Arabidopsis thaliana: one gene and its partner. The protein of the gene in region 2 interacts with the protein of the main gene of each other region in a pairwise test. Each region holds a gene or a part of one and is shown on either strand. Other genes may lie near its edges.

The links. Proteins that work in one complex are often made in the same cells at the same time.
Region 1: the proteins of AT1G13680 (region 2) and AT1G03730 interact in a protein complementation assay, tested with the Arabidopsis thaliana proteins (one large-scale study listed by BioGRID).

What each region holds. Positions count from the first base shown.
Region 1 is NC_003070.9:927,858-934,989, forward strand, and holds AT1G03730 (pyrroline-5-carboxylate reductase), read right to left. Parts: upstream 4,129-7,132; 5' UTR 3,664-4,128; coding exon 3,160-3,663; 3' UTR 2,858-3,159; downstream 1-2,857. Other genes in the region: AT1G03740 (Protein kinase superfamily protein), read left to right, coding at 6,198-6,851, 6,928-7,132.
Region 2 is NC_003070.9:4,687,275-4,695,366, reverse strand, and holds AT1G13680 (PLC-like phosphodiesterases superfamily protein), read right to left. Parts: upstream 5,075-8,092; 5' UTR 4,959-5,074; coding exon 4,866-4,958; intron 4,665-4,865; coding exon 4,548-4,664; intron 4,121-4,547; coding exon 4,004-4,120; intron 3,917-4,003; coding exon 3,818-3,916; intron 3,440-3,817; coding exon 3,136-3,439; intron 3,049-3,135; coding exon 2,825-3,048; intron 2,752-2,824; coding exon 2,665-2,751; 3' UTR 2,526-2,664; downstream 1-2,525. Other genes in the region: PGL1 (6-phosphogluconolactonase 1), read left to right, coding at 23-158, 395-892; ATE1 (ATPase E1), read right to left, coding at 1,188-1,405, 1,672-1,987; AT1G13670 (uncharacterized protein), read right to left, coding at 6,489-7,166.

The sequences.
Region 1 (7,132 bases), 3.8 Mb from region 2:
TCCGTTTTGGTGTAACATACTAGAGAGTAGAGATCGAGAAGGAGACCCTCTCTGAAAATCCTTAGAAAAGTTAACGGGATATAAAGACCGAAGATATGGGCTTGCGTATTTTGGAAAAAAGGGCATATACGTACGTGATAATCAATTGTTTTTTCCGATTAGTATAATAATGACATGTATCCCACAAGTAAGGGCAAGATTATACTAGCTACTAGAAATATGGATCGATCCCTAACAACAACATATTTGAACCCTAATTTGACTGTTAATTTTTCTTATCTTTTTATCTTTTTGTATAGACAAAATTATTACAAACTCAAAGTAGATATGTATGTATAAAAGGTATATTAAATAATAAAAACTAACTGAAATAATTAATATATATACGTACGAACAATTTTAGAAATGTATTGGAAAAAAAAAAAAAATGTATTGAAAAAGCAGACAAACTTTATAGTACATGCGCCAATTTTCTAGGGACAAAACTGGTGCTACATTTACTGGTATCATAAAAATCGAATAATATCATAAATATCGCAAAACTTCAATTTATTATCAGTATGATCATAGTTATCTCTAATAAATATATGGAATTTTTTGTGACAAAAAGTAATAGATATAATGGCATTTTGGTAAAAGGCAATGCCGCCTGCGAGTAGAGGTGCCTAGGGTTAAGGTAGGGTTAGGGCTTGGCAGAAACTTGATTTTTAAATAACGAGAGAACAAAAAATTTGACGGGTAAGCTCGAAATGCAAACGTGGCCGTATAACATGCGTCGATATTAGGATTTCAAAAAAATCACGTTTTGAATTTTACAACTAATATTCTGCTTTTTGATTAAAAAAAAATCTTCCTTTGAGAGCATCACAGTTATTGACTTGTCGAGAGTAAGAATTTAATTAGCTGAACTTTTTTTTGTTTAACACACAGCTTTAATTTGACTTGGCAAAACACACATCTCTTGACATGATCAAAACCTGCAACATATTATTGCCATGACATGACGGATATTGATTCACGAATAACGATGTTCCATTGCTGCTTTTTGTCTCTGTATGTGTACCTTAAAAAAGATTGGCGTGTTAGATACAACTTATTTAAGTCTGACCCAAAACAAAATAAAAAATAATTAAAAGATAAATTAAGAAATTTTAAATTGACGAAAAAAAGTGACGAAAAATAATTAAAAGAAGAAAAGAAAAAAACGAAAAAAGAAAAAGGACAAAAAAACATTTGACGTGAAGGGCATAATTGTATTCAACTTGGAAGTCAAATTCAACATTACGACTTACGAGGGCAAAAGATTCTAGGGTTGTGCTCAGTTTTAATTTTGGGGTTTTACTGAAACTGATATTAGCAAACTGAATTCTATAGTTTTCATTCAATTGTATGAATTATAGATTCCAATGCCAGCACTGAATACATCTTGTCCAGATCTCTTTTTGCCTAGTAGAAATCGCATGTCCCGAAACGAGTTCACCAGTGGATTCTGTCTAAGCAACGACCAGTATTGGTTTAGATCTCTCTTAAAACTGACTACGAATATACAAAAGTTTTTGTAAATTTACACGACTACTAATTTATTGTTCCAACAAATTTGAGTTTTGAAACCAGCTCCACTTTTTCAATCTTTTCCGTACAGATGGACTTTTGTTATCATAATTGGTTTTCGTGCCAAATCTCAAAGTTTTTGTTTTCCCTCCTTTTTTGGCCAATCTCACTCTCTCACACATAGAGAAATTACTAAACATTACATTGAAAAGAAAAAAAATATTACTAAACATCAACAAAATCAATTATTTTTATAACAAATTGCAAACTCAAATTTGGAGAATTCTGCTCTCATTGCCAAAATACTAGTTAACGAATAGTCTGTAAATCAACTGAAAGTTTAGGCACTATAAGGTAAGGGTAAGGATTACTGTTCAAGTTAAGAAATATGTAAACATATTGTTGTTTATTATTATTTTTATTAAAAGGTTTTCATTTTTTTAGGAGCATACGAAAACATATAAATTGGACCATACCCATTACATGATGAACAGAGGAAACGCCCACAAGGGGAAACCAGGCCCAGATAAGAGAGGCTCGTGAACACACATGGGCCACAAAGCCCAAAAACACCTAATTTTTGTTTAATAATTGATATGTCCGAGAGACCGAGACCATAGTTTTGAGTTTAATAATAATAATTTATTTTTTATTTATCTGTTATTTCTGGGGGTTATGCTTAATTACACTGTTCATTTTTACTAATACAATAAGAATATTGATTTCCCTATTTTTATTATTCGGGTTGGATAACTAATACAATTTTGGCTTGGATTTAATCGTTCTCAGTTCTCCCTTCACTCGTCCCAAGAAATGATATTCACAGCTTGGTTTTGCAATAGAAAGTATTTCACTAAATCATAGCTTATCCATTATTAACTACGTTTAAATTGTCTAATGTATGGCGTATGGGAGATGGGCCTAAATTCCAAGACATAATCACTTGTAGTAATCTTTAGAACACTCTACATGGTCTGCTTACTAAAACTTAGTTAATAATGAACTTACGAGAAAAATTCAGGTCATCATTTGAGAAGAAGTAAAAAGTAAGTAATCAACTAGACACAAAAAAAGAGAGGGTAAATTATAAGCAAAAAGATAAGTAATTTTAGGAAAATGAACAAATTGATTAATAAAAATAATGAATATACCAAATTTTAATACTATCATGGAAGCGTCCCCAAAAAAAAAAAAAAAATGAGAAATGCATGAATTAGTAGTTGGATACTTTGTTCAGTTTTGTTGCTAGGTAGGATATATATATATATATATTATTTTTTTATTGCTAGGATATTTTGTTGGTACAGGTTATATTTCTGCTATGGTTTACCAAAAAGAAGTACCTTGAACCCAACCAACAATGGATAGCTAACATTCGCCAAAATGTAATAATTTGACACGCTTTCAAGAAATAATAATGATAGTGATTCAAGAACATCTCCGTTTATAAAATGTACATATACATTGCTACATTAGCAACAAGTTAAACAAGAAGCAAAAGACAAGAGTTTCTTCAATATAATAGTCAAATTTCCAGGAAAGAAAGAAAAACCCACCTAATCCAATAATAATAAAAAAAGAGAAGAAAATTTCCCAAAATCAAAAACCCTAAATCGAATCAAAATCCTTTCTAATAAGAATGAAATAACCCAAAACAGCACAAACCGCAGCAACAGCATTGCCTTCTTTCAAAAGAACCTTAAACACAAATCCAAACACTTCTCTTGTAATCTTACGAGCTTCAACAACCAATACCCTTCTCGATTTCCCAAAAAACGCAAGCAACACAACCACCGATATCCAGATCACCATAACCGCCGGAACCGCAACCGCAGCCGCCGCAACCATCGACATGGCTCCAAACACAGCTCCTAACACCACAGACGCGTAAACCGCCGGTAATCTTGACGGAGACGGCGATGACGTGTACTGGAGCTTGTACCAGCTAAGCACAGATGTGAGAAAGTTCCATGAGGAAGCCAGGAGAATCGCGTAGACAGCTACAAAGAGACAAACCCATGTCCGTCTCTTGCTCATGATTCGCATAAAGATAAGGTACGATCTTGGAGGAGAGCCATTCGATGTTCTTGGCGATCCTGTTGGATCCATCATCGGCGATCTGATTGAGATTTTTTATTGAGGGATTTTTTCTTTCTTTGTGTTGGAAATTGAAATCTCCGTGATTTGAGATTTGTGCTGAAGAACTAGAAGAAGAAGAAGAAGAAGAAGAAGAAGAGAGAGAGCACAAAAAAAAAAGTGAAAGTCTTCAGATTTGGGGAAAATAGATTAGTTCACGTGAGTCCCACTCTCATGTTAAAGCGCGTGTTAATCACTCGTTGGTTTAGAGGCTTGTAGTGGAGTACACGCGCTTAAGTTTCGTTTTATTTATTGATTTCCCCCAAAAGAGACCAGACATGGAAATTAGGAACAAATGAATATACATGGAAACTGCGTGAACTCACTCTGATCAAAAATATTATTATTTCCATTAATATCACTTAATTACTCTTTTCTTCGTTTATTTCTTTCTCCTCTCGGAATTATGAAATTAAATACTAATGACGAAACGCGATTTCTGTTTATACCATTTTTTACTTCAACAAATCTGTTTGAGACGTAATGCATTATCTTCTTTTTTTTTTTTAGTTTAGTCGTATAGCAAGTTAGGGACAAACAAACAAATGCGATTTGTCTTTCCTTTTCTTTTTTTTAATGCGATTTGGCTTGATAGTGCGCCTCTACGCTTATTATAGCCGACAAACTAAAATAAAAGAATCGTCTATTTATTCTAACCTTTAATGACATTTTACCTTTTTTGTTTTGTTTTGTTTTGTCTATCTTTTATGAAGAAGACTCTAAAGGAACGAAACTTCTTGACGTTCACCGCTAGCAAATTCTTGAATGCATGCGATTGTCTTTTTCTTATGGAAGTCTTAGCTTTTTCTCTTGAATATGGATTTTAATATTCTTCCGTCTAGTCATCAAATGAGATTAAGCATTTATCTACAATATATGGAACACTAATCATATAAGTTGAGAATCTACAATCAAACATTTTTAAAATTGGATATGGATGTGGTATTGTATGGTAAACCATCTTCCAAGTAATTGGACATTTGGAATACTAAGATTTACTTGGCATATGAAACAATTTAACGTCCCTTGACATTTGTAACAATTTCACGTACGAACGATTGCAACGACTTTGTTATGTGTCAAACGCTTTTCTAATATGGAAGTTGACACGACTTTGAGAATTAATTTGTAAGAACATTAAACAAATAATCTTCCAGTTTTGTAGTCTTCTATTGATGTACACTTCAAAGAATCTTCTAGTTCATAATCCCATGACCGGAAACGGAGTCCAATTTTGCCATACAACACGGTCGCGATGGCAAATTGGCAACACCGCATGGTCCGCATGCCGATGAAGGTGTCGGCATCCTATTGACGATCTCTATATTTAATACACTTTGATTTTTTTTTAAAATAAGTAAATGAATTAGTTCTAAAGACATCGGGCTGTCGTGTGAGCCAAGTAAATTAAAGTATTTCATAAATTATTCTATTTTAGTTATTTACAAACACACGCGTGTGCACATGTATTTGGCAAATTATTTGAGTCAAACAACATCTTCCTATCACAATTCTGAACTTCTTTATACTCGTGATTAATTTCTTATATTTTTGTCTTCACTGTTTTAGTCCACATGTTAAATTATAAGAACTTCATACACGAAAACTAAACAATTAAAAAAAAAAAAAAAAACTAAACAATTAGAATAATTTCAAACGAAATAAAAAGTCAATACAATTAGTCTTGTAAGAGCGATGATCAAATAGATTGAAAGACTATAATAATGCTCTAAGTTTATTTTAAAATTTTCAACCAATTTTATCTACCATTTAAAAGGTTGACAAAAAAAAAATGTTGACTAAAACAAGTCTTGATACAATTATTTGAATAGGCTGAATGATGATACCAATCAAACTTACATTTAATAAAATCTGAACATTTTAAAAAATAAAAATAAATGAAAGAGAATTCCATGAATGATGATGAGATAGAGCCATAGAGAGACTGAGAGAGAGAGATGTGGAGAAAAATCTAACTTTGGTCGACGAAAGGCGGCTAAGTTGGTTATTGACATTTAGCTATTTTTTTTATGAATCCGTTCATACATCGATCGATGATAGTGACTCACTCTACGTAATCGTTTAATTAGTCAAATCTGCTACAACTAACAAATAAAAATCTCCCCTTTCCTTACATATTCTCTCCGCAACCCTCTTTGATTCTATTCAACGCTTTGCCTAAAGTCAATCTTCATCAATTTCTCTCCATTCCTTCACTCAATTCCGGCCAAAGTTTTGATTTTTCCGGTTCGAATCACTCTTTCTGGGGATTTCACAGTGTACTGTGTGTGGTCTTCCGAAGAAGAAGAAGAATTCAAAAATACGATCTTGTTGGTTTTCGTGAATTGGGTATTTCCCGCTGAGCCGTTGAAGTTGTGTGTTTGTTCTGAGTGGATTGAAATTAGGGTTTAGATTTTAGGGAAGTGAATGGATTGGGTTGTGAATAATAAAGGTTAAGTTTTTCTGTAGATTGGTTATGTGTGTAGATTCATGTTCTAGAGAGCATACGAATGGGTTGTGTGAATTCTAGGCATAGGCCTTTTAGAAGAAAGTCAACAACACTGAAAGAGTCATCAGAGGAGAAACGTTCCTCTCGGATTGATTCGTCGAGGAGGATTGATGATTGGATTCAACCGGAAGATGGGTTTGATAGATTGAGTAACAGTGGAGATGCTAAAGTTAGGTTGATTGAATCCGAAATGTTTAGTACAAGTAGGTGTCATGATCATCAGATTGGGAAGATATTAGAGAATCCTGCGACAGTTGCTCATATGGATAGAGTTGTGCATGATCAGGAATTGAGAAGGGCCTCTAGTGCTGTTGTAGACTCGGACTTGGATATTGATCCAAAGGTTGTTAAGGCCAAGCTAGATAGATGGAATAGCAAAGATTCCAAAGTTCGGTTGATTGAATCTGAAAAGTTGAGTTCTAGCATGTTTTCTGAGCATCATCAGATAGAGAAGGGAGTAGAGAAACCTGAGGTTGAAGCTTCGGTTCGAGTGGTTCATCGGGAACTGAAGAGGGGTTCAAGCATTGTTAGTCCAAAGGATGCAGAGCGGAAGCAAGTGGCAGCAGGATGGCCGTCTTGGCTGGTCTCTGTTGCTGGTGAGTCACTAGTGGATTGGGCTCCACGACGAGCAAATACTTTTGAAAAGCTGGAGAAAGTAAGTTTCTTTTGTTACCACTCTTTGGTCCAGATCCTGTTTCTGTTTAATAGAACCTTCTTTCTTATGGATGCAGATTGGCCAAGGAACATATAGCAGCGTATACAGAGCTCGCGATCTTCTTCATAACAAGATTGTTGCGCTAAAAAAAGTCCGGTTTGATCTTAACGATATGGAAAGTGTTAAGTTTATGGCAAGAGAGATCATAGTAATGCGACGGCTTGATCATCCTAATGTCCTGAAATTGGAAGGATTGATCACTGCCCCTGTCTCATCGTCCC
Region 2 (8,092 bases):
TCATGGATTACACATTCAACAGAAAATTGATCGAGCCGCCTTACGACAAGATTGTAGATTGGGCGAAATGGTATGTTTTCTGGGCGGATGAGCGTGTGGTAGCTAAGAATCATGACGATAGCAACTACAAGCTAGCCAAAGATAATTTACTCTCCAAGGTTAGATTGTTCGGAATGGTTCTTGATGACTTTTGGATAGAAGAATCTTGTATTCTTGTGGTTGTCTTGTTTTCTTGATTCTGCAATCTATTGACTTTTTTTGCCCCAATCTTTGCTTGTTTGTGAAGAAAACAAATGGACGATCTGGAAACTTATCCAATCATGGTGTTGGTCAATACAGCTGTGTATTTTGTCTTGTTATAATGTTGACTTTGATTTTTTTTTGTTATTTTCAGGTAAATGTGTTTCCGAGACATATATGTTCCATTAACGACACAGTTTCAGCGGAGGAAGCTGCAACAGAGTATGAATTCGCCATCAGACAGATGGTGAGATCACGAACCGTGGCTGCGTCAGACAACAGTGACAGTCCCAGGTTTGATCTGATCTTGCTTGGGATGGGCTCAGATGGACATGTAGCCTCACTCTTCCCGAACCACCCAGCACTTGAGGTGAAGGACGATTGGGTCACATTCCTAACCGACTCTCATAAACCGCCACCAGAGAGAATCACATTCACTTTGCCCGTCATCAACTCAGCTGCTAACGTTGTCGTAGTAGCAACCGGCGAATCCAAAGCCAATGCTATCCACTTAGCAATCGATGATTTGCCCTTACCAGACAGCTCTCTGTCTCTGCCTGCAAGGCTAGTCCACCCGAGCAATGGGAATCTGATTTGGTTTATGGATAAACAAGCGGGGTCTAAGCTTGACAGGTTTAAATTTTCCGAGTAGGATTTAGGTTTTCTTCTTTGAGTCAAAAGCAATTGGTTCTTGTTATTAGTGATGACCCTTTTTGTATGAAGAGCATCCGGTTTAGATACATGACTCTTACTTTTCTAAGCAAGCAAGTTTCACCAAACTACCAAATCTATTAACTATAGCAATAACATGGTAATCAACCTCAAGAAACAATCTAACCTCAAAAACTCTATGAGGTGATAGTGACAGTGTTACACACTCAGGCGAAAACATACTTGTTATCCTACAGGACAAGGTGCATAAGAGAATCCGGTAACGCTTACTTTCATTAGGCATCGCCGTGACTTAGAGCATCAGCCTCTGCTCTGGCCATAGGATCATTTTTGGTATCTGTATCTTCCTCCATCTCTCCTTGTCGATCTTCCGCCAATTTCTTCCTGTGAAGCTCCTCAGCAGTCTCCATGGCAGCCTTGTTCTCAGCTTGCATCTTCAGAATCTCCTTCTCCTGTTGCTGCCTCTCAAACCATGTGTCTGCATCTGCCCAAACTGAAACAAACCAACAACACCAATAAGTCCCATTTGTTAAACAACGAGACAACCTCTCAGCTTAATCATATATACAATCGAGAAGCAAATACAAACTTGACCTAACTTCAAATCCGCAAATCTAACAACACTAATTGCAGAATCAATAATAAATCACAAAGAACACTAATTGCAAACCCTAATTTCATAAACCCCCAAATCAACATTATCAATAGCTCAAATTTCAGAAATCAAAAGGAGAAGAGAAACAGTAATTGGAAACGTACGTGGATGAGCAGCCCAACCCTGTTCACCACCCTTAATTTTCTCAGGGAGAGCATAATTAACAGTGAGAACACGACCATAAAGCTCAGCACCGTCCATATTATCCATAGCAGCAGAAGCGTCTTCTCTCTCAAGAAAAGTAACGAATCCGAAGGATCTATGCTTCTGATTCGCTTGGTCCAACGGCGTCTTCACGTCTTTGATATCGCCGAAAGGTATAAACGCGGCGTGAAGGATCGATTCGTTAACTTCATCAGCTAAACCTCCTACGTATAAAGTGTTCTTCTGCATCGCTTGTTGCTGTTGAACTGCCGCCATTGTTGAAATCTGTTTCTTCGAATTCCTTCTCGCTTCTACTTCTACTTCTCAGGGAATTACTGGAAAACACCAGAGAGAAGACGATACCGATATTTTTTTTCTTTTTTTGTTTCCATCGTATAAATGGGCTTTTTGGCGGATTGGCCCAATAATACATATGTGTTTTTGGCGGGTCGGCCCAATAAATTTTGTTTTGAGATTATAAAATTTCCTTATTACCTTTTTGTTTTTTTGACATCAAGCCAAAAAGTATCCCAACAATTTTTTTTTTGCCACCCCATATATTTATTTTTTGCTTTTTTTTTAAGCATATTTATTTTTTTGCTAAACTACCACCGAATATGACAATTGATACATTCACGTATTATTATTCAAACGCCATAATCAACGGATCAACCAAATAGACAAAAAAAACAGTCAAAATATTGTTCAGATTTCAGAAGTTTACTTCGTAGGTATCTAAATGTTTAGTTTCCTTTAATTTTTTGTTCCATTTGGAGCCTATTTTAAAAAAAACTTGAGTTAAACTAAGCCCAAAAATATAATGCTTTATGCATGCTAAGATTAGCCAGATGTTTAAAATAATTTGATATATATATATATATATATATCTTAAAAATATCTTGTAAACTAAGGCGAGCTTTAAGACTAATGCATTTTGTTAAATTCAAGTCAAATTAACAAGCATGCACATCATCACGTCCACATAGAAGCTCTCCGTTTAGTTTATCAATTGCTTGAAACGTTCCTCCTCCATTACTCCTCTGTTTCAAGGAGTTATTAAAGTTTAAAATTCATTCAAGGAGATATTAAAATTAAAAATAAATATAACCTTACCTTGTAAAAGTTGACGGCGACAAAATTGGCCCATCGGTTCCCTGCGGCTACGTAACATGTCTTAATCATATCGAGAAGTTGCTCAGAGTTCTCCTCACAAGTCAATATCTTAACCGGAACTGTCTTGAAATGGTTTACCGAAACCAAAGCTTTCGTTTTATCGGTTAACAGTGCAGAATCTGCTCTATTGCTACATTCATCTGGTTTAACTCCATCGTCTCCATCTAACAATCAATACCACGTTGGGATTAATCCGTGATATCTAAACAAACTAAAATTAAACCGGAATTTTGGTATCTCATCACACTCACATTGATTTTCCACCATGTAATTCCACTGGTAAGCTATTCCTTCGGTTTCTTGCTTAGATTTAGCTGAAGTGAAAACGATTAACCGGTGGTTATTGGCGACCATATCCTTAACCAACGGCCAATCTTGGCCACCTATAGGCATATTTTGAACCGGAAACCAAAATTTCTTCAAACCGGAATCGGTAAATACTTTGGTTAACCCGTTTTGCGATTTGACGTAATCCTCCAAGATCAATGTCACGATCTCTGATGGATTCGCTGTCAAGAACGCGAATATCTCCTTGAATGTGTCTATCGCCCGATTCTAAAAAAGTGACATAACAAAACAATACAAGCCAAATTAAATCATTTATACCAAAACATTGCATGTTAGGATATTTTCTCTTCCAATAAAAGACAAAACTAACGCTCCAATTGTTTCAAAAGCAAATAATTATGTGTCTCACAATACATTTTGCAAATTGAAAACACAAACGTGTTGCACAAACACACACACACACACACACACACTAGGGTAAACCAAAAAGGGAGATTATTTTGAAAATGCCAAAAAAAGTTGTGTTCTTTTGTTTATTACTTTCTTATATTCTAAACCAGTCTCTATTTTCAAACGTTTGCTAAATAATTGTTTTGGTTTGACTCGGTTTTCTTTTGGTTAGAGAAATTTAGAGATTAAACTTACAAATTTGGTGAACTCAAAGCATTGTTCGTCGAAGGAATGGCAAAACCATACGTCTCCTTCGTAATCGTACGTATCCAACATCAATGCTCGAACACCACTCTGAACAAAAACATAACATTCACAAGATAGAAAAATAATAATAATGAAGTAACATATATTTTTTGTCTATTGATTAATAAAACGCACGTTGAGTTGTTGAACTATAGTATCTTCTTGGGTCGCCACATGAAGCGCTTTCCCTTCAATGGCATATGAATTGTGGGTCGTCAAAAATGCATATTTATTAAACGGCATCGAATTGTTCTGTAACAAAGAAAAAAAATTCAGTAGAAGAGTTAAGCCCCACATAGTCAAGAGTTGCAGATCAAGCCTATCTTATGTCAATATATCAACACATCTATATCTCAATACTGAGAGGCTTATGTTGGAAGAATTATGTTCACCTTTAGTGTTATCAGTATTCAAGTAGAACCAAACATATATACTAATTGGTTTAAAAATTATAATTTGGTAAAGAAATTAAGGGTTAATGGGTTTAACAATCCATAATCGTAAAGATATACGACAAAATTAGTGGACTAAATGATCCATCATCTCTTAAGAATCTTACATTAAGTTATGATCCTAAAACCAAATTGGATTTGTGTTTCACTCAAATATATATATTAAAATTTATATTTAAACACCACATTTTTAATAAAGTTTGATTCAAAAGTTGTTTATTACTAACCACAATGGAGAACTGATCTGTGATATTGGATCTAACGCATCTTGCAACATCTATACCGCATTTAAAACAACCAAGTCCAACATTGCAGTCTTCGTCCGATGAGCATTGATCGCCAAGCTGCATTGATGTAAGAATCCTAAATTGTAACATAAATGATAATATCCCTAAATATCGCTAAATTGTGAATAGAGATTCGAGTTGATTTCGTCGAAGAAAATTTTTGATGAATATCTCAGAATTCGCATGGCTTCTTTGGATCTCAAGGTGGAAATAGCCTTTAAGAAAATTGAAAAGTAAATAATTTTAGCTGTAGCTTACCTGTAATGAGCCATACGAAGCAACAAAAGTTATTGCTGCCGGATGAAACAGAACCAAAATTATGGCTGCAAAGAAGAATTTGAAACTGGCCATTGTTACTGACTTGATGCTTTGACCAAGAGATAATGAATTTTCTTAGTCAAACGTTATAGACTTGTAGTAAAAATTTGAAAAAGAACTGATTCGGTTTTGGAGTCTTTGTAAAAAAAGTTTAGAAGACTTTCCTTAAGGTTTATTAAATTCTTCTTTCTTTGGGTAACCTCTTAAATAGTAATTAATGTTTTTACAGCTGGAAAAAAAGAAGAGGAAATGATCACACTTAGAAGGAAATAAACCATATTTGACTAGAATAAAACTTTTCAAATTCAATAATATGTAATGCAAATCTTATACATGTGGTAGATAGAAAATATAATATGAATTAACTAATCTATGGGTTTTTGTTTTAAATAAAAACAGTTTTAATTTTTAACTACAAATTTTTCAAGATGTTGATATATTTTTTCACAAAATAATGGTTTATTAAATACACTAATGTTATATATATTCTTATAGATTAGTTGGTTTTATTAAGGATAATATTCCCGGCATGATTATTTAAGATAAATATGTTGACCATATGTTGACTATATATTTGCCAAAAATACGGATGAAAGAATCCAATATAAATAGAATTAATTATTGTATTTTTATAATAAATAGCAATCAATTCACGTTGGCAAAAATGTACGTGATTTTACATGATAACATGATATATGTTATTTTACATGAAACATGATATATGTTAAACATGCAAAAAAGTATCCCAGTAATTTATTATTTTCTGCCAACAAATATATTGATCCCTATATGATAATTGATAAATTCACCTATTATTCAAACGCAATCATCAACCAATAGACAAAAAGTAGTCTCAATATTGTTTAGAACTTAGAAGGTTACTGTTATTCGTGGGTACCTAAATGATTCGTTTCTGTTAATGTTTTTCTGCTAAATAGGTTTTATTTGTCAACCAAACCTTAAATAAGATTATACATTCCCTTTCAAAAATCTTGTGCGAGGACACAGCAGATCCATTCTTTTCATTCTTCAACGTGCTCTAGAGCAGCTTTTATATTATAACAATTGCTTTTTACAACATGCTCTGACAACTGTTATGAGCATTGTCATATGTATAAGAAACTGTTTGGAGTATTAATTGCGTAATACTTTAAAAAAAAATTGTATACTTTATTTCAATTTCATACATAGAGTAGAACAGTAGGAGTGGGAAAGAAGATGCATGATTTGGGGAGGCCCATCAACTTAATTTTACCCAAAATTGTTTCTACGATATAGAATAATTGCATGATAGGTGTTGTCATAGAAGGGTGGAAAGATGAATCGATGATTGCTAGGGTTTTTAAAAAAGGAGATGTTGGTGACATCGAGTTAGGGTTTTTTTTTTACTATTGGTAGATTCCCAATTGACTAAATTCTGCTAGCTAGTTTTCAATATAAAATATCCCAACATATGAATGGACGAATATAACTTTGTACAAGGTGGAAATGGTCCAACCTCGCTTCATGATAATAATTAAGACTGAAGTTACATTAGAAAATTATTCTCCGGACCGTTCTTAATTAGGGGTTTGATTTAGCAAACAAATCCAACTCAAAAAGATCAGATTCAGAACTTGAATCACTCTCGCATCCACCAATTACATCGTTCTTGTCTCCTGCATTTGGGTCTTTTGTCTCAACCCTTTGGTCCGAATACAGACTCTCACAAAATCTTATGTTCAACTTCTGATCACTCTTCTTCAAATCTTTCTCATCAAAGCTTCTTCTACGCGCGTTTAAACTCCACGCGCCGGCATTGGTGAGAGGCGAAGCATCTGCGGCGTGTGTAGTCACTACGCAGCTCTTCCTCCTCATCCTTTCTACTCGTGGTGTCTCCACCTCCGGCGCTGACTTTGACTTCTTCTTTAGACCAGCTGAGCGAAGAAGAGAGTTCAAGAAACTGGTTAGCTTCTTACCGCCGCCACGTGTCATCTCTTTCTTCTGCGGCTTTATGACGACGACTCTAGGTTTAGGGAGGTGTTCTTCTGTCTCAGGGTGTACTCTCTTCTGTCGATTTTCTGTAACAATGCTTTGTTTCTGTATTTGGATTCTTGAGTACTCGATCGTCGTTGGTTCGTTGAAGTCGGAAAAATATCGAGTGGCTTCGAAGACGTCAAGTTCGCCGGAGACATTCCTCTCGCGGTTTGGTTTATGGATTTTATCTTCTGATGTTGAAGAATCTCCGGCCATCTCCGACATTGTTGTTTCTTGAGTTCCAAGATTTGAGTTGGTTAATTAGTAATTGTGGTATGAGAAGAAATATGGTGCGTCAGATTTATAGAATGCAAGGAATCGGTTAACTGAACCGGTTAATATCTTAGTTATCTTCAGTTCAGAAATTAATATCCCACTTGATGTTGAAAATAATAGTGAAATGAAAATATTAGCAAGTTTAATTATACGTTTCTATGTGTTCATAGGAATGCCACGTTAATATCAATGAATATTCACACCTTTTTCGGCTGTCATGCAAGTTCTCAAACCCTTTTATGGTCACAAAGGCAAAAGGCGATAAAGATAAGATGACCCATTGATCAATTTGGTGGGAGAATTTTATATAATGATTAGATATATAGTATTAGTAGATACCAAAAAAGTAGAGGTTCTAAAATCAATTTTCTTTGCATCTTGGGAAAGTTGGTTAAGAATATTTTATTTAAATTGTTACCGGACTATATAGCATTCTACTATAGTATAAAAGAGAACTTAAGTGAGAAGCGTTGCAATAATATCTAAACATGTGTTGTTTATACATCATATTGTCAAGTTTTGTTATTTCATAATTATTTTACAGTAGAGATATGATTATTTGAAACAGAAACAAATATATTCACTAAATTTGTAAACTAATATCATAATCAAATTATTCATATGCTTAATATTATTTAATAATTTATGACATTATTTTTTTTCTTATTATTATTATGATTTCCTTAAATTTTTGAGTAATTGGTTCTTTTTATCTAGGTGGATTTCAACTGTTTCGACAGTTACGTCACGAACAAGGCGAACAACAGACATAAAATGACCATAATTGATTGATCAATTGTGACCAAGTTCAAAGAGAGCAGTCAAAGAATTAATGGTGTACATGAACTGGTGTTGGATCACTTACTTTTTCTTCT